Stegostoma tigrinum: one gene and its partners. The protein of the gene in region 1 binds, or shares a complex with, the protein of each later gene. Links are inferred from orthologs where the notes say so. Each region holds a gene or a part of one and is shown in the gene's direction. Other genes may lie near its edges. The genes, in order: A-kinase anchor protein 13-like, nod2, mitogen-activated protein kinase kinase kinase 20-like and dual specificity mitogen-activated protein kinase kinase 6-like.

Evidence for each region.
Region 2: A-kinase anchor protein 13-like (region 1) and nod2 share a complex: the UniProt entries of both Homo sapiens proteins name them as parts of the signaling complex. The link is inferred for Stegostoma tigrinum from reciprocal best matches to the Homo sapiens genes AKAP13 and NOD2.
Region 3: A-kinase anchor protein 13-like (region 1) and mitogen-activated protein kinase kinase kinase 20-like share a complex: the UniProt entries of both Homo sapiens proteins name them as parts of the signaling complex. The link is inferred for Stegostoma tigrinum from reciprocal best matches to the Homo sapiens genes AKAP13 and MAP3K20.
Region 4: A-kinase anchor protein 13-like (region 1) and dual specificity mitogen-activated protein kinase kinase 6-like share a complex: the UniProt entries of both Homo sapiens proteins name them as parts of the signaling complex. The link is inferred for Stegostoma tigrinum from reciprocal best matches to the Homo sapiens genes AKAP13 and MAP2K3.

Annotation. Positions count from the first base shown.
Region 1 is NC_081386.1:28,170,786-28,179,119, forward strand, and holds the start of A-kinase anchor protein 13-like, read left to right. Parts: upstream 1-5,148; 5' UTR 5,149-5,239; coding exon 5,240-5,255; intron 5,256-8,334. UniProt on the Homo sapiens protein: Scaffold protein that plays an important role in assembling signaling complexes downstream of several types of G protein-coupled receptors.
Region 2 is NC_081369.1:27,097,499-27,105,073, reverse strand, and holds the start of nod2 (nucleotide-binding oligomerization domain-containing protein 2), read left to right. Parts: upstream 1-4,196; 5' UTR 4,197-4,688; intron 4,689-7,575. UniProt on the Homo sapiens protein: Pattern recognition receptor (PRR) that detects bacterial peptidoglycan fragments and other danger signals and plays an important role in gastrointestinal immunity.
Region 3 is NC_081360.1:48,612,048-48,619,992, reverse strand, and holds the start of mitogen-activated protein kinase kinase kinase 20-like, read left to right. Parts: upstream 1-4,420; 5' UTR 4,421-4,527; intron 4,528-4,533; exon of another isoform or gene 4,534-4,931; intron 4,932-4,962; exon of another isoform or gene 4,963-5,239; intron 5,240-5,247; exon of another isoform or gene 5,248-5,369; intron 5,370-5,460; 5' UTR 5,461-5,482; coding exon 5,483-5,641; intron 5,642-5,647; exon of another isoform or gene 5,648-6,316; coding exon of another isoform or gene 6,317-6,334; intron 6,335-7,945. UniProt on the Homo sapiens protein: Stress-activated component of a protein kinase signal transduction cascade that promotes programmed cell death in response to various stress, such as ribosomal stress, osmotic shock and ionizing radiation.
Region 4 is NC_081376.1:17,311,596-17,319,701, reverse strand, and holds the start of dual specificity mitogen-activated protein kinase kinase 6-like, read left to right. Parts: upstream 1-4,654; 5' UTR 4,655-4,951; coding exon of another isoform or gene 4,952-4,967; intron 4,968-8,106. UniProt on the Homo sapiens protein: Dual specificity kinase. Is activated by cytokines and environmental stress in vivo. Catalyzes the concomitant phosphorylation of a threonine and a tyrosine residue in the MAP kinase p38.

The DNA of each region.
Region 1 (8,334 bases):
ATGTCGTCTCATTTCAGTTTTAAATTTATCCCCTCTAATTTTAAGACTGTGCCCACGGGTCCTAGTCTCCCTGCTTAACGGAAACAACTTCCTAGCGTCCACCCCTTCTAAACCATACATTATCTTGTAAACCCTGAACTTCTGACCCTTCCATGACAAGTAGTTCTAAACTAAAGTTTGCATCCCTTCCCCTACCCTACCTACCCAAAGGTAGCTTCTTTATAGACTTCTACTTACTGACTATAGATCTGCCTTCAGCACAATAATTCCAAACAAACTCCTCTCTAAAGTATGTGACCTAGATCTTTGTCTTCCTGACCCATAGACCACAATCGGTAAGAATAGGCAACATCACCTTGTCCACCATAGCCCTCAACCCCGCAAGGCTGTGAAATCAGTTCCCAAATATACTCCATGTGCATTCATGACTGTGTGGCCAAATTCTGCCCCAACTCCTTTTACAATGTTGCTGATGACACCAACATTGTAGGTTGGAGACGGAATACAGGAAAGAGATTGAGCGCTCAGCATCGTGGTGTAAAGCCAATGATCTCTCCATCAACGTCAGCAAAACAAAGCAGCTGGTTGTTAACTTCAGGAAGCAGAGTAGAGGGCATGCCCCTGTCTGCATCAATGATCCTGAGGTGGAGGTGGTCAAGAGCTTCACAGTCCTACAAGTGATGATCACCAACAATCTGTCCTGGTCCAGCCACGTTGATGTACAAGCAGATTCGAGAACAGCTTCTACTCTGCTGTTTTTAAACATCCGAATGTTAATTCGGACCTCTCTCGCCGCACCTTCACTGTGCTGTAACATTGCATTCTGCATTTTTTCTGAGTAAGGGTCACTGGATCCAAAACATTAACCTGATTTCTCTCCACGGATGCTGCCAATCCTGCTGAGCCTTTCCAGCAATTTCTGTTTTTTGTTCCCGAAGGGGTATGCATGAGCCTTGGAATGTTTTGATGTATACAAAGCATTATATAAGTTTCGGGATAAGATCTAAAATAGGCTGTTGCAACTAATCCAAAAGGTGACGTTTCTGCAATTAAGCTATTTAAAGATGCTGAATTGCCCCCACTGAATACCGTTCATCTCTCCCCTCCCCCCAAACCATTTCCCAACTTCAGGCAAAGGACCAGATTTCAATGAAAGTGTGCTATCTTGTGCCCCAAGCTAGTCCGTGAATTTGCGATTTCGAGTTTGTGGTTTGTTGACCTTGTACTTTAGATAATGTTAGCTAAACATGTCCCATGTGAAATTTCTTACTTGGCTGATATAATTAAGGCGTTCACTCACTTATTCGTATTTCTGAGTTGTTCTGAAGTTGGATGTGGAAGCCAACTTTAAGAAATTTGACACAAAATTAAACTCCTGTTTTACTTTGTAAATTGATATTTGTAAAGGAATGTTTATGAAAGTACTTTTAAAATTGTTTAAAAATGCATTTAAAAAATGCCCAGGCTCAAGCCTCAATTTTTAAACAAGTTTTTTTTTTGGAAATAGATGATTGTGGCTCGAGGTTCATTCTCATGTTGGGAAAGCAGAACAAAAGTCCTGAATATAGCAGGAAAGACGGTGGTAATGTCACAGAACGGGTAATTCAGAGGCCCAGGAAAATACTCTGGGAACATGGGTTTGAATCCCACTATGGCTGTTAATGGAAATTTTAAAAATCATTGTTAGTCTTGGTGATGGTGACCATAAAGCTATTATAGATTGTCATTATAGAGTCATTGAGATGTACGCCATAGACACCCTTCAGTCCAACTCGTCCATGCCAACCAGATATCCTAAATTAATCTTGTCCCATCTGCTGGAATGTGGCCAATATCCCTCTTAATCCCTTTGTGTTCATATACTCTCACTCATCTAGATGCCCCTTAGAAGTTGTAAGTATACCAGCCTCCACAAATTCATCTGGCAGCTCATTCCATTCATACACCACCCTCTGCGTGAAAAAGTTGCCCCTTAGATCCCTTTTAAAATCTTTCCCCTCCTCAATTTAAACCTATACCCTCTGGTTTTGGACTCCACTACCCCAGGTCAAAGACCTTGGCTATTCATGACTCATGATTTTATAAACTTTCATAAGATCACTCCTCAGCTTTCAACACTGCATTGAACCTGCTGAGTTTTAATGTATATTTTAGGGAAAAATCTTTGCTATCCTTACCCAATCTAAATAGAGGAAATTAAATGCTGTCTGAAGAGATCTAGTGAGCTGCTCAGTTCAAGAACAATTAGGATGGCAAAACACACCATGAAAGGAAAATTGAGGGGCTACTGTGGCACAGAGATAAGTGTCCTTACATCGATGCCAGGAAGTCTCCAGATTCATGTCATACCTATTCTGATGCTGAGTCATAATATTCCTGAGCAGGTTGATTTTTTTTTAAAACAAAACCTAAACATCAGCATATAGAAAATCATATTGTAGAGTTTTTTAAATGTTGCCCCTGATGGCATGGTGGCTCAGTGGTTAGCACTGCTGCTTCACAGCATCATGGACCTGGGATCGATTCCAGCCTCAGGTGACTGTCTGTGTTGAGTTTGGAAATTAATGGAATAGTTCTTTCCAGTCACAAGCACTGACCTCCAGATAATAATTACAGCACCTGTTCACTCCCATTAGTGAAAATGACATCACTTTTTTTTTTGTTTTTCTTTGCCCTCTGCACTATCCCTTGTGTGATGCTGCTAATGTCCAACAGCAAGCCCAGATGATGTTTGGCCAAATGTTCATGATTGAACCTCAAGTCAAATCAAGACCATTTTGAGTGGTGAGCGAATTGATGTAAAGCTTTGGTCAGCGTTGTTCTTTCACTGCTTAATTATCTGAGGATGTGATCCAACTGAGTAAATCTGTCCAAATGGCTCCAGAAGAGTTCGCTGCTCTGCAATGTGTCTCTGGTATGAGGCAGGAATTCATTAGATGAACCAGTTATAATCCTAGGCCACCTATGTTTATAAAAGTCATTCAGATCATGTACTGGGGGAAGATATTCTCCAAACATCCTTCATGAAATTCAAGGGAATCTGTGATCTTCTGAGGGAACCCTTTCATAATTTGTTGTGAGTTATCTTGTCTGGGTTTCCAAATGGTATTCTCAAATTGCAGAATCTATTCCATGCTTGGCAGAATGATGAGGCTGTACATTACAGAAATGAATCTTGACTCAACTAATGGCTTTTGAAAACAGGATGAGATCAGTTGGAATAATCAGAACCAGCTGATCATCGTCTTGGCTCGTACAATCTTTCTTAGTCGAATTGTGTTGTTTCCATAGTAAGTTAGGAGATTTGGGCTTTTCGTCATTTTTCCTTTGTTTTGCCCTGTAAGGAGGCACGGGGTGGGGGTTGGTTCTATGTCCTCTGAGCCTTTGTATGTGCTTGTCCTTTTTAGTATATTACAGTTTTAAACAAGGCAACAAAGAACTCAGTCCAAGTGTGGGTGCCACGTGTGGGTTAGCAGCTAGCATTGTTCCCAGCCGTTATGATAATACATTAATCCACCGTCTCACTGCAGCACGCAGTAAGAATGTGATTCTTTTGTACATCTGACCCTGAGGGAGGTACGAATGTCAGCTGATTTACCAACATAATTCAGTTGCTGTCTTCCTAAAGATTTTATTTCATTTGAAGCTAATTAATTTAATCTACCAGTGAAGCTGAATGTCATTTATGCCAAGATGCTAAATATGCTGATGCTAGCATTGTGCTTCGATAAACCTGCTTGATGTGAAATGGTTTCAAATATAATGTTTAGAGAATTGTTTCAAAGTGTGTTTAATTATTTATGCACTCCAGTAACCAAGGTAAGTTTTAGTTGAAACAATCTGCTTTCAACCCTGTCCAGTTTATTTTAGCACCAGTAGAATTTGTGCAATTTAAGGTATGATGTTACTGATTACTGTTTGATTATCCAGGGAATTTTTGTGCTGTGCTCTGTGAATTGTTCCTGAGTGACAGAAGGCAAGTCTAACCCAGAAACATTCTGGATCCAGTAACTGTGATCTGATTTCTCTTAAATTGGACTGGAGTCACATTTTGCTGGTCAGCGCTTGTATTGGACAAGAAGGTGTTTACTAAGGAGCAAACATTTTCTTCCTGTGGCCATGCTGCTTGCTGGTTTCTGTAAAATCTGGATTGTGGCGTTCTCTTTGTGTTTCTCCACTGTTATCATCTTTCTTTTGTAGCAAGCGTCACCATTTTACTGGAGTGTTGTTGCACTTGTGTCTGATGCACTCTGGTGCCCCTTACAGTTAGATATTAATGAAGAAATCCATGGGTTTAATGCTGTATGTTCTCTTAATTCAGTAGTCTTGGTGCTGTGTATTCTCTGAATTTGAAATTGTTGGGGCCGTATAATGTTGAATCCCTTTTTTATTGTGTCGATTCTGTTGCCTGCTTGACCACAATTTGAATCAGCTTGTGTACTGAACCTAGTTATTTAGCATCTACAGCTTGAAAGGATTTAATTACATATTCCAGCCAAAGCATTGGATGAGAGATAACAAAGTTTAGAGCTGGATGAACACAGCTGGCCAAGCAGCATCTTAGGAGCACTAAAGCTGACGGCTTGGGCCTAGACCCTTCATCCCTTGTCCTCCCTCTTCACATTAGTGAGAATACGCTTGCATTTTCATTGGATGGGTGATGTCGACAAACTATTCCACAGCTTCAGCCACAGCTCTGGCATGTAGCACAAAGCTTCGCACAGATCAGCGGTCTGACCTGTAGATGGAGTTTACCCAGAAAGGTTGGGGTGTTGTCACACTACACGCACGACATGACTGAGACCGAGCCCAAATGCTTTTATAAGGATACAAACTCACCACCATAACCAAGGGACGATGCAGATCGAGCCTTACTTTCTCTGAGCAATGTGCATGTTGTCTGGACAGAAATGGACTGTTTCTCCTTCAGGTGTTGTAATTGTCATGTTGCATTTAGTACAGCACACAGAAGCAATTTATTTTGTCCCTACTACTCTGCACCAGCATTTATACTCCCCAAGAACGTCTTACCATCGCATTCTCTAACACTATCCTTTTTCTCTTTCAAGTGCTTATCGAACTTCCTCTTAAATGCAGCTATGTGACTTATCTCACTACGCCTTGTGGTAGTGTGTTCCACATTTGTACACTCTCTCAGAGAAGGATGTTTGTCCTAAATTGCGTATTGGGTCCATTAGTGAATGTCTTCTATTTTTAAACTCCAGTTTTGGACTCCCACATGTCTGCTGTGTGCTGTAAGTTTGTGCCGTTTATTTTGAGAATTTATTCAGATGTTTCTTTGATTTTGGCTTTTGTGTTTAGGTTGAGTCTGCAGTATGTGTTTCGTGCTGTGTGAGAACTGCAAACCACAGGCATGTGTGCAGCTGCATTCTTCAACTGTTCCCCTATAAACTATGTGGTCAGGCTTTCACCCTTGCTAAGGTTTAAGCCGTGCTAAAGACAATTTGGTATTAATCATCTTCAGGCTTATCCATAAGCAGAAGCCAATATTGCTGCTACAGGCATCAGTTAGAATTAGTAGGAGCTGAGTCGTCCTGTCAGCTGTGCACTGTCTTCAGCAAAGGAAAGCAAGCACTGCTGATTGAAGTTTAAATGTGGGCGAAGTTTAATTTTAGTGATGCATCCATAAGATGATACATCGGAGCAACTACTAAACTTGCAGCTGTCTCGCAAGTAGAATGAAGCTTGGGGCGCAGCATTTGTTCAACTATGAAATATCTGTTTGATGGCTTTGCACTGAGTTATATACTTTTGTTTTGGTTAGTGTGGGGCTGAAATCTGTTTGCATTGATAGCAAATGTGCCTGTAACATTTGCATTTGTATGTGCCTGTGCAGTGTTGCCCCTCTCTGTGTGTTCTTCTTCTGTTCTTAAAGCAGTGATAAGGTCTTTATTTGCGTAAAAGGCATGTCATAGAATCCCTACAGTGTAGAAAGAGGCCATTCAGCCCATCAAGTCCACACTGATCCTCTGAGCATCCCACCCCATGTCTGAGACTTCACATTTCCCACACATAACCCCTGGACACTGTGGGAAATTTAGCATGGCCAGGCAACCTAAGCTGCACATTTGTGGACTGTGGGAGGAAACTGGAGGACCCCGAGGAAACCCACACAGACATGGGGAGAATGTGTAGAGTTTACACAAATCAGTTTCCCAAGGCTGGAATCTAATAGATTCAAATTGCAATCTCCACTTGGATCCCCACCCTTTCCTCAGTTTTTTTTTTCCCTGTTCTCCAACCAGAGCACATATGTTCCTTTCTACTGGGTTAACAACAAGTCAGGGGAAACTGAGCTCAATCTAAAATGTTCAAAAAGTCTCTAGAAGCATGTCCGCACTTGGTGATTTCAAAGGATCCCCGTTATGGGCTCAGATATATCTTGCATTGAATTGTCATCTTTGCATCTTGGCCTGCTGCAGTTTCTTTGATTTCAAACTGCTCCACGATCCCATAGCACCTTTTTGGTGATCTTCTTTCGTTTCACCTTGGCTCGCAATCTCAGCCACTTCACTGCCTCTTCTGTCACTGGGACTATTGTGCTCTAATGCTCTGGAATTCATCAGTGAACCCAAATGTAAACTCATCCTCTCAACTGTCAATTTTTAAAAATTCACTTTGGGATGTGGCTGTTGCTGGCAGGGCTACCATTTATCACTCCTCCCTAGTTTCCCTTGAGAAGGTAGTGGTGAGCTGCGGCACGTTTGGTATAGATAGATCTACAGTGCTGTTAGGGTGGGAATTCCAGGAGTCTGATCCAGTGACACTGATGCAACAGTGATAAATTTCCAAGTCAGAATGGTGAGTTGTTTGGAGGGGAACTTGCAGATGGTGTATTCTGATGCATTTACCACTATAGTCATCTTCCTGGATGGTGCTCATAGGTTTGGGATGTGCTATCGAAGAAGTTTTAGTGAATTTCTGCATTTTGTTTATAGTATGCACTATTGCTACTGTGCATTGGCGGAAGAGTGGATGTGATACCAGTTAAGCCAACTGCTTTATCCTGGATGGCATTAAGCTTCTTGAATGTTGCTGGAACTGTACACATCCAAGCAAGTGAGGATGTTCCATTGCACTCTTGACTTGTACTTTGTTAATGGTGGATTCAGGAGGTGAGTTACTTGCTGCAGTGTTCCTAACCTCTGTCCTGCTCTTGTGCCCACAGTTTGTATTGCTGGTTCAGTTTCTAGCCAGTGGTAATCCACAGGATGTTCGAGTCACACAGCATGGAAACAGACCCTTCATTTCAACTCATCCATGCTGACCATGTTCCCAAACTAAACTGGTCCCACCTGCCTGCACTAGGCGCATATCTCTTGCAACCTTTCCTATTCATGAACTTATCCAAATGTCTTTTAAGCATCGTAACAGTATCTGCATCCGCCGCTTCCTCAGGATGTTCATCCCAAACATGAACCACTCTGTTTTTTAAAAATTGCCGCTCATGCCCTTTTTAAATCATTCTTCTCATACCTTAAAAGTATGTTGTCTAGATTTGAACTCCTCCAGCCGATGCAAAAGATCCTTGTCATTCACTCTTTCTATGCCCCTCATAATTTTATAAACCACAATAAAGTCATCCCTGAACCTTCTACACTCCAGTACAAAAGACTCACAGCCTTTCCTGTCTATTTTTTATATTTTTGCTGCTTTAAGTTTTTAATATTTAAACTAGAAGTGCAACATCATTGTGTGGCTGTATCTTGAAAGGGATTCATCATGACTGCCCAATGGTATCAGTGTGGACTTCACACGCTTCATAATCTCCCCTCCCCCTACCGCATTCCAAAACTAGCTCAGCTTGCCCCCGCCTCCCTAACCTGTCCTTCCTCCCACCTCAAGCCCTCCCCCTATCTCCTACCTACTAACCTCATTCCGCCCCCTTGACCTGTCCGTCCTCCCTAACTCCCCACCTACACTCACCTTTACTGGCCCTCTTTCACCAGTCTGTTTCCTTTCCACTTATCATCTCCTCTGTTGATCTTCTATCTGGCTCCCGCTCTCTCCCTGTTTATTTCAGAACCACCTTCCCCTCCCTCATTTCTGATGAAGGGTCTAGGCCCGAAACGTCAGCCTTCTTGGTCTGCTGTGTTCATCCAGCTCTGCACCTTGTTATTGTGACCGCTCGTGGCTTTCAAATTTGATCTATACAGCATACTGCAGCAAGTTTTGAGAATGCCTTTGCTCTTTGACCCTTTAGTGTGATCTGCAGTTGGATTATCAAGCTGAATCACGCATTACAGCTCACTAATGCACGCTTGTAAATTGGCAAAAGAAGATGTGTAATTATTGCTGTACAGTCTTGCTGTA
Region 2 (7,575 bases), on another chromosome or scaffold:
TTGATATATGGTGAAGATAGAGTCAGGCCAGGAGACCCGGTAAGAGCTGAAGAACTTGCCCAGTTCTTGAGATAGGCCAATAAATGAGGCCATTTAGGGGAGGCGATGGCCGAAGTGGTATTATTACTGGACTGTTAATTCAAAGACCCAGATAATGTTCTGGGGACCTGGGTTTGAATCCTACCACAGCAGATAGTGGAATTTGAATTCAATAAGTATCTGGAATTAAGAATCTAATGATGACTGTCGACTGTCAGGAAAAACCCATCTGGTTCACTAATGCCCTTTTGGGAAGGGAGCTGCCACCCTTGCCTGGTCTGGCCTACATGTGACTCCCGACCCACAGCAATGTGGTTGACTCTTAACAATTAGGAATGGGCATAAATGCTGCCTAGCCAGCTGCACCCTCATCCTGTGAATGAATAAAGAAAAAAAGTATCGATAGACGGAAAAAAAAACTAAAGGACCAAACACGCTGCTGGACATGCAGTATACATCCCTAATCAGGGAGAGAAAGAGGATCAAATACGCAATCAAATTTCAGAGAAGTGTATGATTAATATGGCCTTAAGAGTAGGGCATTTCAATTATCCAAATATTAACTAAGGTAATGTGCAAAGTAGAGAGGGAGAATAATTCTTAAATTGCACACAGGAGAACTTTTAAACCAGTACGTTGGAAATTCAACAAGGGAAAGGACTGTTCTGACTTGATATTTAGAAAGGAGCTTGGGCAGACAGAAGTCTTGTCAATGGGGAATATTTTGAAGAGAATGATCATAACTCAGTCAGATTTAAGATAGTTACAAAAAACAAGTTTGAGGAATCAGTTAAAGTTCTAAACCAGAAAACGGTTATTTTGCTGTACTATTTGGTAGCCAAATGCAATGGGAGCAGTTCGTTTTAGATAAAACTGTGTCAGATCGGTGGGAGGCATTCAAGGACGAATTGGTAGCAGTACAGGGCAAATACGTTCCTATAAAGATAAAGCAAAACTTTTCATAATGCCTCTCAATGTCAATCTACAGCAGGTGGACTGTTGTGGTTCAAAAAGGCGGCTCACTATCACCCTCTCAAGGGCAACTAAGGATGGACAATAAATACTGGCCAGCCAGCAACAATCCACATCTCAAAAATGAATAAAAATATTTCAGAGTCAAACATGAAATGATTGTAACATGTTTCAGCCAAATGAATCTCAAAGAATATGAATTCTCTGACTGGGGCTGTTAATCTGGTCCAACCAGGAAGCCTTGCCTGACAGGTACAAACAGAAGTGTGAGACGCTGCTTGGCCTGCTGTGTTCATCCAGCTTCACACTTTATTATCTCGGATTCTCCAGCATCTGCAGTTCCCATTATCACTGTTAGAGGTTCTGTGCACTCTGAGAGTTGACTCTGGGAAGCCAGACCAGTGTCAAGAACTATGCACATGTTAACAACGAGTAACTTGGTGATGGAATACTGGTATCCAAAGCAGCTTATTTAAAATATAAATAAATCTTGAGACTTAATTTACAGTCATTATTAACTAGTACATTCTCCATGACAACACCTCTATCAAATAGAGTCCATTTTGCCAACCAATTAGCATTCTCGTTTTGAATGATGTTTTCTATTTAATCTGGTACATTGTGCAAACTGTCTTGATGAGTGCAAAAAGAAAAGCTTCCACAAAATATGTCTTCTTTCAACAATATGTTTCAGGTAATAAACAAAGTTAAGAACAAAGAACAATACAACACAGCAATAGGCCCTTCGGCCCGCCAAACCTGCACCAACACATTTTCCCTGCCATATAAAACTGTCTTCTCTTACAGGATCCAATATCCCTTTCTCCCTTTCCTTTTCATATATTTGTCCAGGTGACTCTTGAATGCTGCTATTGTGTCTGCTTCCACCAGATCCTCTGGCAGAGCATTTCAGGCATTAATCACTCTTTTTGTGAAAAACTAGCCTTGCACATCTCCTTTAAACTCCCCTTCACCCTATGTCCCAACACTTTGAACCTGGGTCCCCTAGTAATTAACCCCTCCACCCTGGGAAACAGCATCATACCTATCCACCCTATCCATGAAGGTTGGGACCCTTCTTCAGAAAAGTGACATTTGTGTGACTTTTGAATGTTAATGGGATGCTCTCCTGCTTGCTGAACCATACTTGATAAAATAACCAGAATGAGAGGACAATGTTGATAAGGTGAGTGCCAAGCTGCCAAAAATAGTAATCTGAGAATGTTCACATTTGTATCAGTTTTGCTTTATGGTTTTATGAAAGTTTGTTCCTCATGCCAATTACTGAAGGCGTTTACTTAGGGAAATGTTTGTTACCAAGGTCATGCCCAAAGCATTCTGTGGTCACAAAGTGCTCATTGCTCAATCTTGCCTCAGCTTCTCCATATTTCCATCTATCTTCCCACTTTTAGCCGCTCCAACTTTGCTATTCAAAATCTCTTTTGTTTAGTCTGCATCCATCTTAGTCTAAGGTGGGCAGCACAGGAATTTTCTGAGGATATTCCACTGCAAAACAGATATACTGCTTTGAATGCTGTTGGGGGATTGACCTCTCAGGGTAAACCAGCAACAGCCAAATTTATTGCAGCACAGTTGTTTCTGCTGCACAGGAAAGGAGGAGAAAGTGTGGGAATGCAATAATTGTAGGGATTGAATTGTAAGAGGAATAAACATGTGTTTCTGTGGCAGAAAACGAGACTCCAGGATGGTACGTTGCTTCCCTAGTACCAAGATCAAGAATGTCTCAATACAGCTAGAGGACATTCTGGAGGGTGAGGGTAAACATCCAGTGGTCATGGTACAAATTGTGTCAGTGACATAGGTTATGAAAGGGGTGAGGTCTTAAAAGCTGAGCTGGGCCAAAAGACCGCAAAGTGGCAGATGGAGTTTAATTTACATAAATGTGAGGTGTAGCATTTTGGTAAGACTAACAAGGGCAGGACTTATAGAGTTAATGATAAGGCGCTGAGAGTATTGTCAAATAGAGAGGCCAAGGGATTCAGTTACATGGTTCCTTGAAAGTAGTGACACAGTTAGGCCGGGTGGCGAAGAGGGTGAAAGGCACACTAGCTTTCATCGTTCAGAGTAGTGAGTTGGGACATTATGGTAAGGCTGTAAGGATGTTGGTGCTCACTATTGGAGTACTGTGTACAGTTCTGGTCATCCTGCTATAGGAATGATATTATTAAATTGGAGACGGTTTAGAAAGCATTTACCAGGATGTTGCTGGGACCGGAGGCTGGGACCTGGAGATGGATAGGCTGGGACTTTTTCCCTGGACATTCAGAGGTTGAGGGGTGACCATAGAGAAGTTAATCCATTCATGAAGGGCATAGATAAGGTGAATAGCCAAGGTCTTTTTTCCTAGGGTAGGGGAGTTCAGAACCAGAGGGCATAGGTTTAAGGTGAGAGGAGAAAGATTGAAAAGGGACCTGAGGGGCAATTTTTTCACACAGAGGGTAGTCTGTGGAATGATCTGCCAGAGGAAGTGGTAGATGCAGGTACAGTTACAACATCTAAAAGACATTTAGACAGGTACATGGATAAGAAATGTTTAGAGGGATATGGGTCAAATGCAGGCAAACTAGTTTAGTTTGGGAAACCTGGTCGGCATGGATGAGTTAGACCGAAGGGTCTGTTTCCGCGCTGTGTGACTGTATAACTCGGAATCCTGTGAACTGGCCAGCTTGTCTGACCTCTGCAGCCCTCCTTGGGTTACCATACCACAATGCGTTCTGAGTAGAGCAGTTGTTTGGGAGTTTGGCATTAGGTTATGAAGGACATGGACTGTCCAGTCAAGCTGGTTTGGAATAATTAGTACCTCAATTCTGGGCCTGTTGGCTTGGGAGAGCATGCTGCTGTGGAACCACCTATGTTGCCACGGGATTTGAAAGATCCTGCAAAAGCATCTCTGGTGGTTCAATTCTGGTGCTTTGAAATGTCGGGGAGTGCCAGAATAGGAGTATTTCTCCATGCAGTAAAAGCTAAGCTACCATGTCCTATTCATTCATGCTCAGTTTTTCTTGCATGCCTACCTATTGCCAGCTTATATATTACAAAAATACTGTAAATCCTGCAGCTGGATACAAAAATCGAAACTCCTCAGAGCAAGTAATCAGTTCCAAAAATCTGCTTCCCCTGCCGGAAGTGTTGACTTGTCTTTTCTGCACAACGACAGACTGACGCCCTTCGGGTTATCTGATGTCAGCTTCCTCTTTCACAACTAATATAGGCCAGAAACTGGAGAGAGAGAGAGAAAGGGCAGTTTCTGAATTCTGACACGATGTTGACGGTCTTAGAATGATCTTAAGGAATGACTCAGCCTCCCTCTGACCTGAACGCCTTGTGAAACACCACTAGCCTTGCCTATTGAAACGTCGGGATGTTTTAGAACGGGTGGAAGTACCTCTCCGCGCCAGAAGGAAGTGGAGACGGAGATCATTATCTGATGTTGTTAATTGTGTTTCTGGGCCAGCAGCCACTGAGCATTGAGCCTCCCGCACCAGTTCGGAAAGGGTGCAGCTCTCAGACTGCCCCCGGCATCTACACCACAAGGGAAGTTCATTTGTGAGTTTACGAAGCCGCCGTGTGCAACTGGGAACAGCACAGAAAAGTAGAACCTCACATTCCACGAGCCTTGTTGTGGAATTTGAGATGTGATGAGAACATTGCTTAAGGTACCCCTAAGGTTCCACTGTACTCATTTATTACATGCCGTTATGAAAACTTCCTGCGTTGCTATTGACGGGGATGTGAAACTTTCAAAAACGTGCTAGCGATACCATACACAAAGTCAGAAGTACACCTGGAGTTATCTACCTGTAAAATCCTGTCACTGCTCAGCGCTGCTCTGCTCTTTGAAGGAAAGAGCCTTTTTGTAATGTTTTTGATGCTGGGTTCGGATTAGACGAATAAAACCGAAACTACTCTTTGCTGGGTAGCTCAGCGTGATGGCCCTCCGGAGGATTTAACATACGCAGAAAAAAATGTTTATTATGTTTATTTAGGGTTGTTTCGAAATAGCATTTTTAATATCAAAAATATACTTTATTGATTAAAAAATCTTTATATACATACATAGTGAAGCTGTTCGCTTCTGTGCAGTGGCATATCGAGAAACAAGCGGACAGTGATTTGTTTGATTCTATCCAGCAAACAAACCAAAGGCATTTCTTGCCTATACCAGATTATATTTACATACAGCAATTTCCAGCTTCATGGCAGCTCAATCTGTCTAGAACTCTGAAGATGAGGTTGTAGGTGAAAGTAAACTGAGCCTCACCCTGTTTAATTTGAGGGGTGAAAGTATGCCATCTTTAATCGAAACTAAATCGAGTTTGCATGCGTTCATTTTGTAAACTGGGGCAAAGAATCTAGCTGGTAGGGAGCGAATGACTATCTTTTTATTAAAGAAAGACATACGCGATGCATTTATGACCCACCCCTTATTGCCGTTGAGAGCAGTGTACAGGCACCTTGAACGGTTGTAGCCAGCCCGCGATGCTGTTGGAAAAGACATTCCAATGTATTGATTCAGTGACTGAAGCAGTGGTCGCTCCAAATCAAAATGTTGCGTGGCTTGGGAGCAAAATGCAATCATTGTGTATGTAGTGTAGTATGGAAACATTGGGCTTAGGAACCAAATGTTCTGCTACTGTTCCTAAGTGAGTTTTGAGAAGTTGATGATGTTACCTAGAATGGTGACGAAACGTCTGAAAACGAACGTTCCAGCTCAGCGAGCAAACTCACATCCAGAACTGTTTCTAAGTCCAATACTACACTGTATACACTATACTATACTACAGTAAAATGCTTTGGGATGTGCCGTATTTGTGAAAGGTTTGTATAAATGTGAGGTTTTTTTTGAATTGGGCATCTCATTAGTTGTTTAGGTATAATACAGCTGGAGCTGCAGGAGCACAGCAGGCCAGGCAGCATCAGAGGAATAGCAAAGCAGACATGGGACCCTTCAGAAATAGGGAGAGGTCAGGGAGCTCAGAAATAAGTAGAGGGGTGGGGCTGGGGAATGTAGGTGGCATGGTGATAGGTGAGTGCAGGTAGGCAATGGTGGGGATTGGTCAGTGAGGTAGAAGGGGTGGATAGGTGGGAGAGAAGATGGACAGGTTGTGTCAGGTCAAGGAGGTAGGGGTGAGAAGGACGGTTAGTCATGGGATGAGGAGATTTTGAAACTGGTAAAGTCCACATTGAGACCATTGGGCTGTAGGCTCCCAAGGTGGAATATGAGGTGCTGCTTTTCTAGTTTCCGCGTGGCGTCATTGTGACACGGGAGGACGCCCAGGATGGACATGACACACAGGGAATGGAAGAGGGAGTTGAAGTGGTTCGCGACTGAAAAGTGTTGTCATTTGTTGCGAACAGAGCGCTGGTGCTCTACAAAGCAGTCTCCGAGCCTCTGCTTGGTCTCACCGATGTAGAGGAGGCCACATTGGGTGCAGCAGATGCAATAGACCACATTGACAGATGTGTGTGTGAACCTCTGTCTGATGTGAAAGGTTTGTTTGATTGACCTTGATGTTGACCTGCTCCTCCCACCTCACTGACCAATCCCCACCACTCCCAACCTGCACTCACCTATCACCGTCCCACCTACCTTCCCCAGCCCCACCCCTCCTCTCTCTATTTATTTCTGAGATCCCTTTCCCATCCCCCATGTCTGAAGGAGGGCCCCAACCCAAAACATCAACTATCCTGCTCTTTGGATGCTTCCTGGCCTGCTGTGTTCCTTCAGCTCCACACTGTTATCTCTGACTCCAGTATTGGCAGTTCTTACTATCTCTGAGTTGTTTAGGTATATCTCGTTTTGGATTTTATCCGCATCCCATGAAATTAAATGCTTTCAGTTAACCTTTTTAATATATAACTGTGCTCCAATGCTTGGTCATCTCACTGATCCAATTTTGACCAGCATTAAAGAAGAAGAATAGGGAACAATAGATGAATGAAGATTGTGAAGCTCTGGTCAAGAATAAGGTATAGACCATTGGATTAAGTGAATCTCTTGAAGAGCATAAGGGATAGATTCACTGCCACCAATTGTTCTCATTTACTAATATCAATGGAGAAGGATACCCACACACAGTCTTTGACAGAAGGGAAGCAGTACCCGACCTCAGTAATGGATACTGCTGGGACTGGAGGCAGATGAATGAGGAAGACAGCCATGGACTCTGGAGTGAGGTAAATCAGTATGGGTTGGGATATTCAACAAACCAAGTGCCTACAGGCTTTCATGGACTATGAAAAACTATCTGACAGCATATACAGAGAGGTTGTTAACCCCAGGCCAGGAAATCTCAGACAGCTGTTAAGTTTCAGGCTAAGGGCGCGACCATTTAAGACTGAATGGAAAGAATTTCTTTATTGATAAGGTGGCATTTCTTTGGAATTTGCTACTAGGGATGATGTGAAGGCATCATCTTTGATTATATTTAAGACTGAGATGACGACAGTGTTTGGTTTTTCAGGGAACAGTGAGTAGAAGGGAAGTCTAATTGCAGCCCAAGACCTACTGTTGCAGAGGAGGCTTGATGGACTGTATTGCCT
Region 3 (7,945 bases), on another chromosome or scaffold:
CCAGCAGGAGGTGCTGGTTCTCTGACAGTGCAGCTCACCAGCAGGGGGTGCTTGTTCTCTCTGACAGTGCGGCTCGCCAGCAGGAGGTGGTGGTTCTCTCTGAGAGTGCAGCTCACCAGCAGGAGGTGCTGCCTCTCTCTGACAGTGCGGCTCACCAGCAGGAGGTGCTGGTTCTCTCTGACAGTGCGGCTCACCAGCAGGAGGTGCTTGTTCTCACTGACAGTGCGGCTCACCAGCAGGAGGTGCTTGTTCTCACTGGCAGTGTGGCTCACCAGCAGGAGGTGCTGGTTCTCTCTGAGAGTGCAGCTCACCAGCAGGAGGTGCTGGTTCTCTCTGAGAGTGCGGCTCACCAGCAGGTGCTGGTTCTGTCTGAGAGTGCGGCTCACCAGCAGGAGGTGCTGGTTCTCTCTGAGAGTGCGGCTCACCAGCAGGTGCTGGTTCTGTCTGAGAGTGCGGCTCACTTGCAGGAGGTGCTGGTTCTCTCTGACAGTGCGGCTCACCAGCAGGAGGTGCTGGTTCTCTCTGACAGTGCGGCTCACCAGCAGGAGGTGCTGGTCCTCTCTGACAGTGCGGCTCACCAGCAGGAGGTGCTGGTTCTCTGACAGTGCGGCTCGCCAGCAGGAGGTGCTGGTTCTCTCTGAGAGTGCAGCTCACCAGCAGGAGGTGCTGGTTCTCTCTGAGAGTGCGGCTCACCAGCAGGAGGTGCTGGTTCTCACTGACAGTGCGGCTCACCAGCAGGAGATGCTGGTTCTCTCTGACAGTGCGGCTCACCAGCAGGAGGTGCTGGTTCTCTGATAGTGCAGCTCACCAGCAGGGGGTGCTTGTTCTCTCTGACAGTGCGGCTCGCCAGCAGGAGGTGGTGGTTCTCTCTGAGAGTGCAGCTCACCAGCAGGAGGTGCTGCCTCTCTCTGACAGTGCGGCTCACCAGCAGGAGGTGCTGGTTCTCTCTGACAGTGCGGCTCACCAGCAGGAGGTGCTTGTTCTCACTGACAGTGCGGCTCACCAGCAGGAGGTGCTTGTTCTCACTGGCAGTGTGGCTCACCAGCAGGAGGTGCTGGTTCTCTCTGAGAGTGCAGCTCACCAGCAGGAGGTGCTGGTTCTCTCTGAGAGTGCGGCTCACCAGCAGGTGCTGGTTCTGTCTGAGAGTGCGGCTCACCAGCAGGAGGTGCTGGTTCTCTCTGAGAGTGCGGCTCACCAGCAGGTGCTGGTTCTGTCTGAGAGTGCGGCTCACTTGCAGGAGGTGCTGGTTCTCTCTGACAGTGCGGCTCACCAGCAGGAGGTGCTGGTTCTCTCTGACAGTGCGGCTCACCAGCAGGAGGTGCTGGTCCTCTCTGACAGTGCGGCTCACCAGCAGGAGGTGCTGGTTCTCTGACAGTGCGGCTCGCCAGCAGGAGGTGCTGGTTCTCTCTGAGAGTGCAGCTCACCAGCAGGAGGTGCTGGTTCTCTCTGAGAGTGCGGCTCACCAGCAGGAGGTGCTGGTTCTCACCGACAGTGCGGCTCACCAGCAGGAGGTGCTTGTTCTCTCTGGCAGTGTGGCTCACCAACAGGAGGTGCTGGTTCTCTCTGAGAGTGCAGCTCACCAGCAGGAGGTGCTGGTTCTCTCTGACAGTGCGGCTCACCAGCAGGAGGTGCTGCCTCTCTCTGACAGTGTGGCTCACCAGCAGGAGGTGCTGGTTCTCACTGACAGTGCGGCTCACCAGCAGGAGGTGCTGGTTTTCTCTGACAGTGCGGCTCACCAGCAGGAGGTGCTGGATCTCGCTTATAGTGCGGCTCACCAGCAGGAGGTTCTGGTTCTCTCTGACAGTGCGGCTCACCTGCAGGAGGTGCTGGTTTTCTATGACATTGTGGCTCACCAGCAGGAGGTGCTGGTTCTGTCTGACAGTGCAGCTCACCAACAGGAGGTGCTGCCTCTCTCTGACAGTGCGGCTCACCAGCAGGAGGTGCTGGTTCTCTCTGACATTGTGGCTCACCAGCAGGAGGTGCTGGTTCTCTCTGACAGTGCGGCTCACCAGCAGGAGGTGCTGGTTCTCTGACAGTGCGGCTCGCCAGCAGGTGCTGGTTCTGTCTGAGAGTGCTGCTCACCAGCAGGAGGTGCTGGTTCTCTCTGAGAGTGCTGCTCACTTGCAGGAGGTGCTGGTTCTCTCTGACAGTGCGGCTCACCAGCAGGAGGTGCTGGTTCTCTCTGAGAGTGCAGCTCACCAGCAGGAGTTGCTGCCTCTCTCTGACAGTGCGGCTCACCAGCAGGAGGTGCTGGTTCTCACTGACAGTGCGGCTCACCAGCAGGAGGTGCTGGTTCTCCCTGACAGTGCGGCTCACCAGCAGGAGGTGCTGGTTCTCTCTGGCAGTGTGGCTCACCAGCAGGAGGTGCTGGTTCTCTCTGAGAGTGCAGTTCACCAGCAGGAGGTGCTGGTTCTCTCTGAGAGTGCAGCTCACCAGCAGGAGGTGCTGCCTCTCTCTGACAGTGCGGCTCACCAGCGGGAGGTGCTGGTTCTCTCTGAGAGTGCGGCTCACCAGCAGGAGGTGCTGGTTCTCACTGACAGTGCGGCTCACCAGCAGGAGGTGCTGGTTCTCTCTGGCAGTGTGGCTCACCAGCAGGAGGTGCTGGTTCTCTCTGAGAGTGCAGCTCACCAGCAGGAGGTGCTGGTTCTCTCTGACAGTGCGGCTCACCAGCAGGAGGTGCTGGTTCTCGCTTATAGTGCGGCTCACCAGCAGGAGGTGCTGGTTCTCTCTGACAGTGCGGCTCACCAGCAGGAGGTGCTGGTTCTCTCTGACATTGTGGCTCACCAGCAGGAGGTGCTGGTTCTCTCTGATAGGGCAGCTCACCAGCAGGAGGTGCTGCCTCTCTCTGACAGTGCGGCTCGCCAGCAGGAGGTGCTGGTTCTGTCTGAAAGTGCGGCTCACCAGCAGGAGGGGCTACTTCTCTGGCAGTGCGGCTCACCAGCAGGAGGTGCTGGTTCTCTGAGAGTGCAGCTCACCAGCAGGAGGTGCTGGTTCTCTCTGACAGTGCAGCTCACCAGCAGGAGGTGCTGGTTCTCTCTGAGAGTGCGGCTCACCAGCAGGAGGTGCTGGTTCTCTCTGACAGTGTGGCTCACCAGCAGGAAGTGCTGGTTCTCTCTGATAGGGCAGCTCACCAGCAGGAGGTGCTGGTTCTCTCTGACAGTGTAGCTCACCAGCAGGAGACGCTGGTTCTCTCTGATAGGGCAGCTCACCTGCAGGAGGTGCTACTTCTCTGGCAGTGCGGCTCACCAGCAGGAGGTGCTGGTTCTCTGACAGTGCAGCTCGCCAGCAGGAGGTGCTGGTTCTCTCTGAGAGTGCGGCTCACCAGCAGGAGGTGCTGGTTCTCTCTGAGAGTGCCGCTCACCTGCAGGAGGTGCTGGTTCTCTCTGACAGTGCGGCTCACCAGCAGGAGGTGCTGGTTCTCACTGACAGTGTGGCTCACCAGCAGGAAGTGCTGGTTCTCTCTGATAGGGCAGCTCACCAGCAGGAGGTGCTGGTTCTCTCTGAAAGTGCAGCTCACCAGCAGGAGGTGCTGGTTCTCTGACAGTGCAGCTCGCCAGCAGGAGGTGCTGGTTCTCTCTGAAAGTGCGGCTCACCAGCAGGAGGTGCTGGTTCTCTTTGAGAGTGCGGCTCATCAGCAGGAGGTGCTGGTTCTCTCTGAGAGTGTGGCTCACCTGCAGGAGGTGCTGGTTCTCTCTGACAGTGCGGCTCACCAGCAGGAGGTGCTGGTTCTCACTGACAGTGTGGCTCACTAGCAGGAAGTGCTGGTTCTCTCTGATAGGGCAGCTCACCAGCAGGAGGTGCTGGTTCTCTCTGAGAGTGCGGCTCACCAGCAGGAGGTGCTGGTTCTCTCTGAGAGTGCGGCTCACCAGCAGGAGGTGCTGGTTCTCTCTGAGAGTACGGCTCACCAGCATGAGGTGCTGGTTCTCTCTGACATTGAGGCTCACCAGAAGGTGCTGGTTCTCTCTGAGAGTGCGGCTCACCAGCAGGAGGTGCTGGTTCTCTCTGACAGTGCAGCTCACCAGCAGGAGGTGCTGGTCCTCTCTGACAGTGCAGCTCACCAGCAGGAGGTGCTGGTTCTCTCTGCGAGTGCGGTTCACCAGCAGGATGTGCTACTTCTCTGGCAGTGCGGCTCACCAGCAGGAGGTGCTACTTCTCTGGCAGTGCGGCTCACCAGCAGGAGGTGCTGGTTCTCTCTGATAGTGAGGCTCACCAGAAAGTGCTGGTTCTCTCTGATAGTGAGGCTCACCAGCAGGAGGTGCTGGTTTTCTCTGATCGGGCAGCTCACCAGCAGGAGGCGCTGGTTCTCTCTGACAGTTTAGCTCACCAGCAGGGGACGCTTGTTCTCTCTGAGTGTGGCTCACCTGCAGGAGGTTCTGGTTCTCTCTGATGGTGCGGGTTGGAGTGGGAGGAGGAAGGGGCGGGCTCTTGGTGTCGGGAGGGTTTTGGTCATTTTATTTGCAGTGATTCTCGTCTGTGCTGAGTTCTTGTCTCATTTCCAGTTGGAAGCTGGGCTAAGTGTAGTAAGAGGTAAGAAATGATACCGAATTGAATGTCGTTGCTTTATTTGCAATCTTCAAGGCGGAGTTTTATTTATTAAAACTGCAGACAGAAGTAAAGAAGGCTGTTTCCTGCGAATGTGTCTGGAGTAACTGCCGGTTGTACTTTTCACGGCCTTTTGTAATCGTGTGGTTTGTGTCATTGGCAAGTCTCGGAGTCCAGTGAACTTTGCTGGTTGGAGGCTTTTTTTAAACATTTACATTCGCTCTGGGATCTCAAGCATTGCACAGAACTCTCACGTGATAGGTTTCAGCAAAACCGCCTCCCACTTCCCAGAAGTGTGTTTACTTCAGGGAATAGCCATTGAGTTTTGCGAAAGTTGCTCCTTTTTAGGAAGTTATTGCTGGCATTTTAGAAAAAAAAGTCTCTAATTTGTACGTAAGAGCGTTGTAGCGGGTCTCTGCCCAATCTGTGTTACTAGCTGCTATTCTCTGCGAAGCGGACAGTTTGCGTGTGTCACATTCCAGAGCCATGACCCAGTTTCCAAGTTGACAGCGCTTCCGCGTCGGGATAGAGTGTCCCTGGAAACTCAACAGGCGCACGGGCTCTAAGCCACAAACTTGTCTTGACATAGCGCCTTCCGTGGGCTCGGGACGCCCCAAAGTTTTTTGCACACCAGTGGATTATTTTTGGACCCGTCAACGTAGTAAACCTGCAAAGTTAAAATGGAAAATATAACACGGTGAAAGCCATCTGTAGCCGTTATTCTGATAGTTTAAACTCTTAAAAAAATCTGTTTTACACAACAGATGCAGAAGTTCTGTTTTTTTTGAGACCGATGTTTTTGTTTGCATTTTAAAATCATTTGTCTGGTGTGTTGAAACTGATCATTTAGTTTGAAATAGTTATAGCATGCTGATTTTGATGACTTTTTATTTAACTATTTGTTTCTATGTTTTTCAGATTCTGAAATTGTCAGTATGCAATGTTGTCCTTCAGTCCATCGTTTTTGCAAATCAAGTTTGATGATTTGCAGTTTCATGAAAACTGTGGCGGAGGAAGTTTTGGTAGTGTCTATAGAGCAACATGGTTATCTCGGGACAAAGAGGTGGCAGTAAAAAAGTTGTTAAAAATAGAAAAAGAGGTGAAGTTTTGCTGTGCTATGTATTTTGTGGATCTCCTTTCTGCTAACTTTTATTTTCAGAGCCCATGGTGTTAAGAGCAAGGTACTGATGTGGATAGACAATTGGCAAAAGGCAGGGAGTAGTGATAAAAGGGTTTTTTTTCCAGAGTAACAGCCAGTGATTAGTGGAGTTCTGCAGGGGTCAGCAAAATTATAGAATCCCTACAGTGTTGAAGCAGCCCATTTGGTACATCAAGGCTACACTTACCTCTGAAGAGCTGAAATTCAGGGTTCTCTTCATGTCCAGGTTCATTTGGCAGTTAGGAAAACAAAAGCACTTAATATTCATTTCAAGAGAGCTAGAACGCAAAAGCAGAGATGCACTGCTGGTGCTTTATAAGGCATTGGTCCAGTTTGAACTCGAACAGTTGTAGATCCTGGATCTAAGGAAGGATTTGCTGGCATTGGAGGTGGGTCCAGAGAAGGTTTTCCAGAATGATCTAGAAAACCTTCTCATATATGGAGTGGTTAAAGACTCTGGGCCTGTACCTGGTAGAGTTTAGAAGGATGAGGCGGGGTGGGGGGGGGATCTGATTGAAACTTGCGGAATACTGAGAGACCTGGATAAAATATGCATGGAGAAGATGTTCCCTGTAGTAGGAGAGACAAGGATCCGGATCCACAGCCACAGTGTGAATGGACAACCCTTTAGAGGTGAAGTAAGGAATTTTGTCAGCCAGAGCGTGGTTAACCTGTGGAACTCGCTGCCACGGAGGGCTGTGGAGGCCAAGTCATTGAGTGTATTTAAGACAGAGATAGGTTCTTGCTTGGTAAGGAGATCAAGGGTTATGGGGTGAAGGCAAGAGAATAAGGTTGAGAAACATATTAGCCGTGATCAAATGGTGGAGCAGACTCGAGGCCTAGGCCTATTTCTGCTCCTATAACCTTGTGGTCTAATTTCTTGAATACTTTAACCCTTTTATAGCAATAAATCTGCTGCCCTTTGTGGCTGTTCCAATTCCCAAACTCTCTTCAGCGTGCAAAATGGATCAATTTACCATGTGATTGATATTACTTTTTATTCTAGTAATTCATCTGCACTGTTGAATTTCCCCAAATGTACAAATTCACACTTATGTAAACTGTCGAACGAACCCCTGATTAATTGCAAAGATGTAACCATGTCTGATGATGTACCTTCAGTGCTTCTGTAGATTAATTAAAATCAGAAAGTTAACTCAGTATCATATATTGCAATAACTAAAACACATTGTAATTACTACAGTTGATTGTGTTTATTTGTCATGTTTAACCTGGCTACTTTTTCTATTTTATGAAAGCATCATATTTCTGTGTTATTCGTGTCTGATCTTTATTGGTCTGCTTTTGAGCTTTGTTGTGTTTGACGTAATTTGCGACAATTCCTGCAGGAGTAAGGGAAGTGAGAGACTGTTCTTCAGGCTGACTCAATAAGGTTGGCTTGGCACATGTGACCAATTGAGTTTCTCCCCAGTGAGTTTTCACAAGAAGTTTTGTGCAGGAAGATATGGTGAGCACCAGACTGAAACTTCTTAGGCCAAAATGTAAGCAGCTATCTTTCTATATTGATAAACACATGACCATTTTCTGATAGGACATGTAAGTAGTTGGACCACGCAGAGAATCAATTATGAAAGAATGCATTTATCAGTTCTTGTAGTCTCTCAGGATTCTTAAATGTGTATTTAGTGTTTCCATTGAAATCAGTAAATGGTTTTGATGGAGCTATTTTAATCGTCTGGATGTAGAGCCCTACTCGAATTTCACTATTATAAAATTCTATATATAGTTCTTCTAGTCTGCAGAGATTTAAATTATTTATTTCTGCTTTGCTTCAAGGTGGTGAATTACAAAGAATGATTTGAGTAAGACGGACAGAGGATGTGAATACTTTAAGCATGCTTGAACAACATGCCAAAAGGCTCCAGGCTCAGTGTTATCAAAGCTTAAGTGCAGAACACGTATATTAATAGGGCTTTCTTTTAAGAAGCTCCTAGTGAGTAGCTTCTAGCAATGGCACTTGAGATGTAAGAAGTAGCTGGATGCTGAAATGGTGCAATCTACAATTTGTATTTTGGGATGATGTTTGAGGCCTTCATTGTCCTTGCCATCTTGTATTAATAAAAAGAGAAAGGTAGTGTAGCTGCTAATTGAGAAAGATGTCGATGTCCTAGTTTGAGGCCTGCATATAATTGTATTTGAATCATGAGTTGGAACTTGGAGATCTTTTGTACAAGATCAGGGATGACTTTATTCCACTTTGGAGTTGTGGTTTGTGAGGTGACT
Region 4 (8,106 bases), on another chromosome or scaffold:
ATGCTGCTTGGCCTGCTGTGTTCATCCAGCTTCACACTTTGTTATCTTGGATTCTTCAGCATCTGCAGTTCCCATTATCTCTGGTATCAGTGAAAGCTGCTTTTTCTTCAGTGCTCCAGCACTACTTTATGTCCTTGGCTTGTGAGAGGTTCACACTCTAATGAAAGGTTACTGAAGAACTTTGCTATGTAAATCACAAATCTATATTATTTTTGTGGTATGCAGTTGCTTCATCCACATGTTTCCACAGCCATGGACTAGCAGATAATGCACAATAATTTCCAAAATATTATTCAAGAGCAGTAGAAATACTAAATGGCATGTATAACCTTCTGGGTCACTTGAATGCTATCCAGAATGTGTTCGAAAACTGCTGCTGTCATCCAACTTAACTTGCCAGTAACCATCCTTTGCATTTCAGGCAGTAAACGTCTTTACTTCTACAAGTTGTGGCAAAGCATCTTTAATGGTGGGCACAGGCAGTGAGATTTCTTCAAAGTTTTATTGAGATCTTTTGGATTCATACATATTTTCAGTTTTGCAGGTTTATTCAGTGTTGCTCATTCAGTCTACAGGAGGTGCCACTTCCTTGACTACTCCCTTCTTATCCAGCTGTTTTATCTTGTCTTTCAAGCCAGACTTGAGGGCAGTTGGAATATTCCTTAGCTGAGTTAGCCTTATTCTTTTATCTACTTCATGATCATATTCCAGGAGCACATCCAAGACCTGTAAATGTATCTTTGTAATCTTTTAGGATCTGTTCAGCAATCAATGGCTTCATGGCCTGTCAAATTGCAAATCTCCTTTGGCATATTTAGAGTTACTAGTCCAAGCTTTAGACTTGCTTCAGCTGAGACGAATGGATTTTGCTAAATATCTACTTTCTGGAGCTCAAGATATTCATTTCGTTCCGTTGCATTTGGCTCTGAACTCCATTTATTCTCTGGCATGAGTATGATTCCATTATATAGCTTCAGCTTTACTTTCGATGGATTCAGTTTTGGGTTACCACATCGCACAGGTCTGTGAAACTGAATGAAGCACTGATGACAATTTGACGCTTCATATTCCCTTGATGCTCACATTCTGCAGCCATCTTTCTAACAGTTCCAAACCATTCATTACTTTTAGACTTGACAACTTCAACCTGTTTATGTTATAAAGCGATTCAGCAGATTAGTTTGCTGATACCTGTCCAGACACCATCTCTCTAACTATACACGTGTGCGCAGAGTGATTCGGGTTTTTATGGTTTGAGTACTGTTTTCCATATGCAGGGTATGCTTTCCATTCTTTTGTGCGATGTGCCCCATAAAATTTACATCTTGTTCTCTGGCTATGATCATATTATTATCTTTTCTGCAAATATTTCTTCCTTTTTCGCCCATTGACACTCCAGCTGATTGACAGCTTCAGAACTTCTATATGTATCAATAGCTTTCTTGAGGGTAAATTTCTCTACATAACAAGTGTGCCTGCGAGGCCTTATGCTGAAGACAGTTTTATCTCTGATTATATCATCTTTTAGTTGTGCTAACTCTCAGGCTTAAGCTAGATATATCAATGCAATCATATTGATCAATAGTTCCCTCACGTTGAGTTCTGATGCTGAACAAATACTGTTCATAAATAATGTTAATATGGGGTTCAAAGTGTATCTTCAAAGCCTGAAAAATCTCTCCTGTCTTCTCTGTCCCGCAGTAAGAATTAGGATATTATACAGCTTATAATTTCCTAACAGCAGGGTTGCAACTCTTAGATGCTCAAGTTTAAAATATAATTCTGTTTCTATGTCACAGTTTGGTCACTGTGAGTGGGGAAAAAAAAACAATTCTGTCTCACATCTTCATTTCCACAATAGTACCTAGTGTAAAACACACAGCTATTTGACTCACCCATTAGTTCAAAGTTGTGATGTTTTATCTTACTTCTTCCTTGCTATTACGTTCATCAGCTGACTCTTTTTAAAGCTTTGAACATTAACATATTTTCGTTTGCATCACTTTGACAACATTATCTGTTTAATGGGTGCCCAGACTCTACTCAAATCAGGCACTTGCAGCAGAAGTAGAAGTCACATGGCTACAGCTAGCAAGTCAGTCCTCTACTCTAAAGGCACAATTACATTTCTTCAAATGGGCTGTCTCTTTCAGATGTGCTGATTTACTCTCATGCACTCGCTCATAGACACACACATACATATTCACTCACAGGTGCTGTCTCTCTGTCAATCTTTTGTAGACTCCTCTCTCCTGGGAATATGGAGACTTGATCTCAGGTAACTGCACAGAGTGGGGGAAGAAGGAGCCTTCTCTTCCCTCGCAGCAGCCCTGGAACACAGATCCTTTGATAAGCAGACTCTCGCCCAGCCTTGAAAATTCACTGTTGAAGCTCTTGCATCCAGGCCTGAAGACTGAATGAAGCCACTTACCTTTGCACTGTTCGCTTCTCCTCCACTCAGAATGATTCTCTCCTGTTTTTGATAATGATAGGCTCAGCACTATCACCTGAGTATGGCAGATAAACAGCCTATGACTAGAGGAGCAACTCCTTGAAGATATTGTTTTTATTCAGCTGCATTTTGAGTACTGTTTCCATGATCCACATCGAGACACCTAGTGGGCTTGATTCAGGCCCCTGGACCGTGTGTTGGAAAAGCCAGCTTGCAATAACACTAGTGGTAGATTGGGCACACTGTTGAACATATGTTTTATTGCACAGTAGTTGAAAGGGTGTCAGTTGGAGCATGAGTTTGAGTATAGCACCACCAGAGTTAATTAACATCATGGTCTGTTCTTTGGTTGCACACTTACAGTGGCCATGTCAATGACAACATGGTGTTGATCACAGGCAGGACAAAAAGTGCCAAATGTGTAGGCATTACCCAAGTGAATTTTGTGGGAAGATTGCTGATGCCCTCCACAACGATTTGTTGTGCAAAATGTTTCCAAAGAATGTTCTTGCCTTTCCACATTGTACTACATTGTGAATGTGAAGTCAGGTAGCTAATTCTCCATTTATAAACCTGTTGCCTGAAATTAGATGGTTGAATTATGACCCATGTTTATTGCAATTTCTTGAAAAGCTTTTGATAACTTATGGTTGGAAAACATTGCTTGCCACTCAGGCTATTGCTTATTTAAATTATAAGGTCTCAAAGTATGTTCCATCGTCAAGTACTTGTGCCATCTTGCTGTTGTAGCCATTTGCATAATTCTTCCAATTGACTTGCTTTTTGCTTATAACAAGAAGTAGATTTCTAAACTTTAATTAGAATGACCTCTGTAGGATTATCTTGATCAAATTAATATAAAGTTCAGTAAAATTCTACTCAGGAAATAACTTGTGTACCTTTAACTCCAAGAATAATTAAATGTGCATATTAAAAAATAAACTTTCATATTTTGTCCCTACATTTTTTAAGCTGAAACTATTGGGATATTTTCAGGGGAACCCACCACATTCAGCTGTTAGTAAAGATGAAAACTCAAATGATTGGCATTCTCTTTCTAGGGAAACATCTAAACTCAGCCTGTGTATCCAAGAAGAAAGTGACTAAAGTACATGAGGGCAAGATGTGGACTGTGACCTGCAGCAAATTGCTGATCTGAGCAGGACTGCCGGTAAATGCATCAGGCCACTTTCCTCAAAAACAGTGAAAGAGAAGGTACGAGATTCAGCTCAATCCTCCTGAAAGGGATTCCTGAGCACCAATGGAATAAGCCCAAGGGGAAGACTAAAGCAGTGCAAATTCTGCTCATATCTGCTTGTGAAATGAGTATTTGTTCATCATTATACTAATCATGTCTTTCCAGACCACTTCAGGACCAGGAGTGCCTATGGATTCCTGTCTATTTCTCTGTCCTATTTTCTGCATACTGTTGTTGCAATTAATGTGTTACTAGGTTGATGGCAAAGCACTGAAAGAAGACTGTTCAAATTGATATTCAAAGTATAAGTCACACTTTTGTATTTTTGTTATGTAGTGAGTTATTGGTCATTAGCAAGCTGTTGGGGTTAATTAATTGGAGACACACTTTGTGCACTGCTTTTGATAGTAATTGAAGACTCTTTAAAAAGAGTCAGATCTCTGAAATTAGTCAAGGCATCAAAACTGCTTCTTCTAAAGAAGAGACACTTGAGATGGGATTTCTTTTATTCAATACATAATTATGATCTGTAATGCATTACTGGAAAAGGAACCAGAAATAGATTTTCTGTAATATTCAAAACTGCATTTTATAAACACTTGAATGGATAAAATTTGCAGAACTATGGAAAAAACAGGGGAGTAAGAGTAATTTTCAAAGATCCTGCTTGGACATTTTAGGATAAGTATCCTTATTCTGTGTTATAATGTTCTATGATTAACAATATGCCATTTGAGATAGCCCTGAGGTTTGGTTAGGGGAAAGAACAGCCACACACTTGTGCAGAGATAGTTTGTTTAATGAAGCATTTCCTTTCAGAACACAGCTGCCCATGGGCGTGTGTTTTTTAAAATCAATAAGCAACAGAGAAATACTCAAAAATCCACCTAATATGATTGCCACTTGTAGACATTTGGGTGTTTTTTGAAACGAAAACTTACCTCTGTAGCGTCCTTGTCTGGCAATCTTCCAACTTCCTGTGTGATGTCATGGTTGAGATTGGTTTATTACTGCAGCTTCTATACTGAGTTTGTGGCAGCTGAGTTGGAAGGAAGATTAATGCCGGTGCAATTGGAGACGGGGGTATATTTTTAACGTAAGGAAACAAATTGCCGTTAGGTAGTAGACAGAAGGAAAAAGGTGAAATACTGGAGAAGCAAAGCAACATCAAATTATTTTGTCAGAACAGCGTGCATGCAAGTCTGCATAGTGGGGCCCAAAGCGTGCAGCAAGTTCTCTGAGTTTGTTAATGAGACTTCCCCTAAAGGTTCGTCACGCCTCAGCTGCACTTCTGGGAACTCATGGACAAGAGACAAGGTAAGTTTTGCAATTTTATTGACAAGCTCTCCATCTAATTTATTGTGAGGTTTTTATTTTTTGTGTGCGTTAGAAGCTGCGTTTTGCATAGCTGGTTCAGCGTAGCAAGCATTTTGGAGCTAGCTTGTTTACTTCCATTCGTTGCACAATCAGCCTTCCTTTACAGTAGCTTGTTTGCAGCAAAGACCTAAAGCAGGGAGTTACCGTAAGTTGCAGTGCCAAACAGCAAATGGAGCCAGCTTCTGGTAGCTGAAGGTTGCTAGCTCAGCGTTCTTCCATGCGGTTTTATCCTTTAAGTTGACCCAGCATGGTGATCTTTATAGAAATACACAGTGCACGGATTTCACTATTTCAGTACAATTTCTGCAGCAGTTAATGGATACCCTGAGACTGGGAGTGTTCATCTTAAAGGGACACATTGGCTCGGTTACCAGTTCAGCCTGGTCGTTGTACATTGCTTTAGTAGAAAGATTTAGGTGGAGAAGTTTACTTTGAGACTTTCCCTGTTGGTGTGTTTTGCATTGATTTTCTATATTTGCAATGCTGCATTGTTCTTGGAAGCCATATGCGGTGATAGGAAATTTTTTTTTATGTTGCATAATAGCTCCACTTTTACTGTTTTTGAAATACTTTTGATTTTTGAATATGCGTATGTTTTCTTATCATTAAAGCTGAATTCAATAACTTGTTTTATGAAATTTTTTCTAGTGTGGGTTTTGTGCTCAATGATATGATTGATGTTATTTCTGGGAATGGAACACTTCCTACTTGGCACTCGCTATTTGCATCAAACACTTTCAGATCAGTTACAGCGTTGTTAAATGTAGAGGAAAGATTTATTCTCGTTAATTTGTTCGAAATTTACAGACGCTATAGACGTTGCAAACTAAGTGGAACAAAAGTATTTCGAAATAAACATGCATAATCAGGCTTAAACCATTGGCTTAGTGGTACCATTCTTGCCGCTTGAGTCAGCGGTTTGGGTTTGTGCTCACTATAGGCAGTCCCGGTGAGCGGAGACTGCAGTGACGGCTGTGACCACTGTACTGGATTGGCATCCAGTAGAGGCCACAGAAGGGTGCCCTTCCCCACATTTATAATCAGGGTTCTGTCTTCTCTTGTGAGAGCTCACTGGAAGAGGGCCCTCCCAAGATAAGAAAAAAAAGTGAAGATGCCAATGACCTTGATGTAGTGTAGACCTGTTGGAATAACGAAATGGAGGGGTCACCACTTATCACACTTGGCCAATTTTTAGACGTCCCATTTTACAAATAGTGTCTATCATATTAGCCTGTTCTTAAAATGAAAATTTTGCACAATTTTCCTGAAACTTTAAAACACATGAATATAAGTGGAATGTTGAGAAACTTCTTCACAATTATCAGTTATTCCAAGAATTGGAATCTATGGAGTTTCTTGTTGACTTTGGGTTTTGTACTTTTGAGAGATGACCTCTAGTTGACCTGATTGCTTAATACTTAATATTATTGAATAATTAATTTTATAATAACAATTAGTGATGCAAAAAATATTGTCTCATTGAATTTTTGTCCTTTGTTGTAACACAGCTTTTGATTTCAGTGGCACAATGAAGACTGGATGATCTATAATACCCATGTTTAATCCACTCGGTCCAAATTTCAGATAGATATATCTGACTTTTCAAGAGATTTTAAAAAAAGATGTTCTTTGCAACACAGCTAGAAGTGGTGACTCAGTCTAGAGTATAGTTCTCAAAATGCTGGTCACTGTCTATCTGCTGTTGTGGCTGCACTTCTTCCAATGTAGAGTTATGTTGGACTTGAACTGTGGAAAAGATGTATTTTTTGAGTTTTGTCCTGTTTCACCTCATGCCCATATGCACCTGTGATGAGCAGAAACCTATCTGCAACTTTCTAGTCTAAGGTGGATGGTTAATTGTACCTTTTCAGAGACTGCTGTGGGTGTGGTAAGCTAATTTGACATGAATTCTGTTTAGTATGGCCATGAAAGCTGTTCAGTATGGTCCAGTACTGCAGCAGATGGTGTCTTTGTCTGATGAGCTTGAGGGAGTTTTTTAAAATTGTATTTTTGGTTTGAGGTTTTTAGACTTTAAATGTATAATTTAAATTTAAATCTCATTTCTTAAATGCTGTATTTGATGCATATGCTTGTCCACTCACATCATAAATTTGCCAAACTAGACACATGATCAGGTTATCTTACACTCTCTATTTACCACAGTGAAGATAGAGGATCATCTCATAGTCATAGTTAAAATCTTCATTAAGAGCAGGCATTCTGGAAAAGAAGCAAACTTGCATTTAACAATATCTGTTTTTTGCATCTCTTGGAAGCATTTACAGTCGTTTTGAAATTCACTGCCCGTTGCATGCAGAGACAAATGTAGCTGCTGTATGTAGTAATGAATGCTTGACCAGATTTTTTTTTACTGATGCTGGTTGAGGGAAGAGTATTAAGTGGTTAAATATGCAAATCATTGATATTTTCCCAACCATCAGCACAGGCTTGATAGACTAAATATCACCTGCTGTGCTACAGATTTCTGCCAGATTCAGTGCTTTTTTATTTTGAATCTCATTGTGGCTGTTGGTGTCAGTTTGATTGAATTGCCTACTTTTGAAAAGATTGCGAGATAGCAATATCAACTTCCTTGTGTCAATAGTTATGCTACTGTGCCAAAGTTCAGTTGAAGGCCAAATGTGAACTTCGCGCTTCACCTCTCCAGATTGGAATCTGAGATAACATGGTGTGAAGCTGGATGAACACAGCAGGCCAAGCAGCATCAGAGGAGTGGGAAAGTTTGATGTTTCAGGTCAGGACCCTTCTTCAGAAATGGGGGAGGGGAAGGGATTCTGAAATAGGTAGGGAGATGGGGGGAGGTGGACAGAAGATGGATAAAGGAGAAGATAGGGTGAGAGGAGACAGACAGGTCAAAGAGGTGGGGTTAGAACCAGTGAAGGTGAATGTGGGTGAGGAGTAAGGGAAGGGATAGGTCAGTCCAGGGAGGATGGATAAGTAAAGGAGGCGGGGTGAGGTTAGTAGGTGGGGGTGGGGCTTTAGGTGGGAGGAATGGTTAGGGAGGCGGGGTCTCGCTGGGTTGGTTTTGAGATGTGGTTGGGGGAGGGGAGATTTTGAA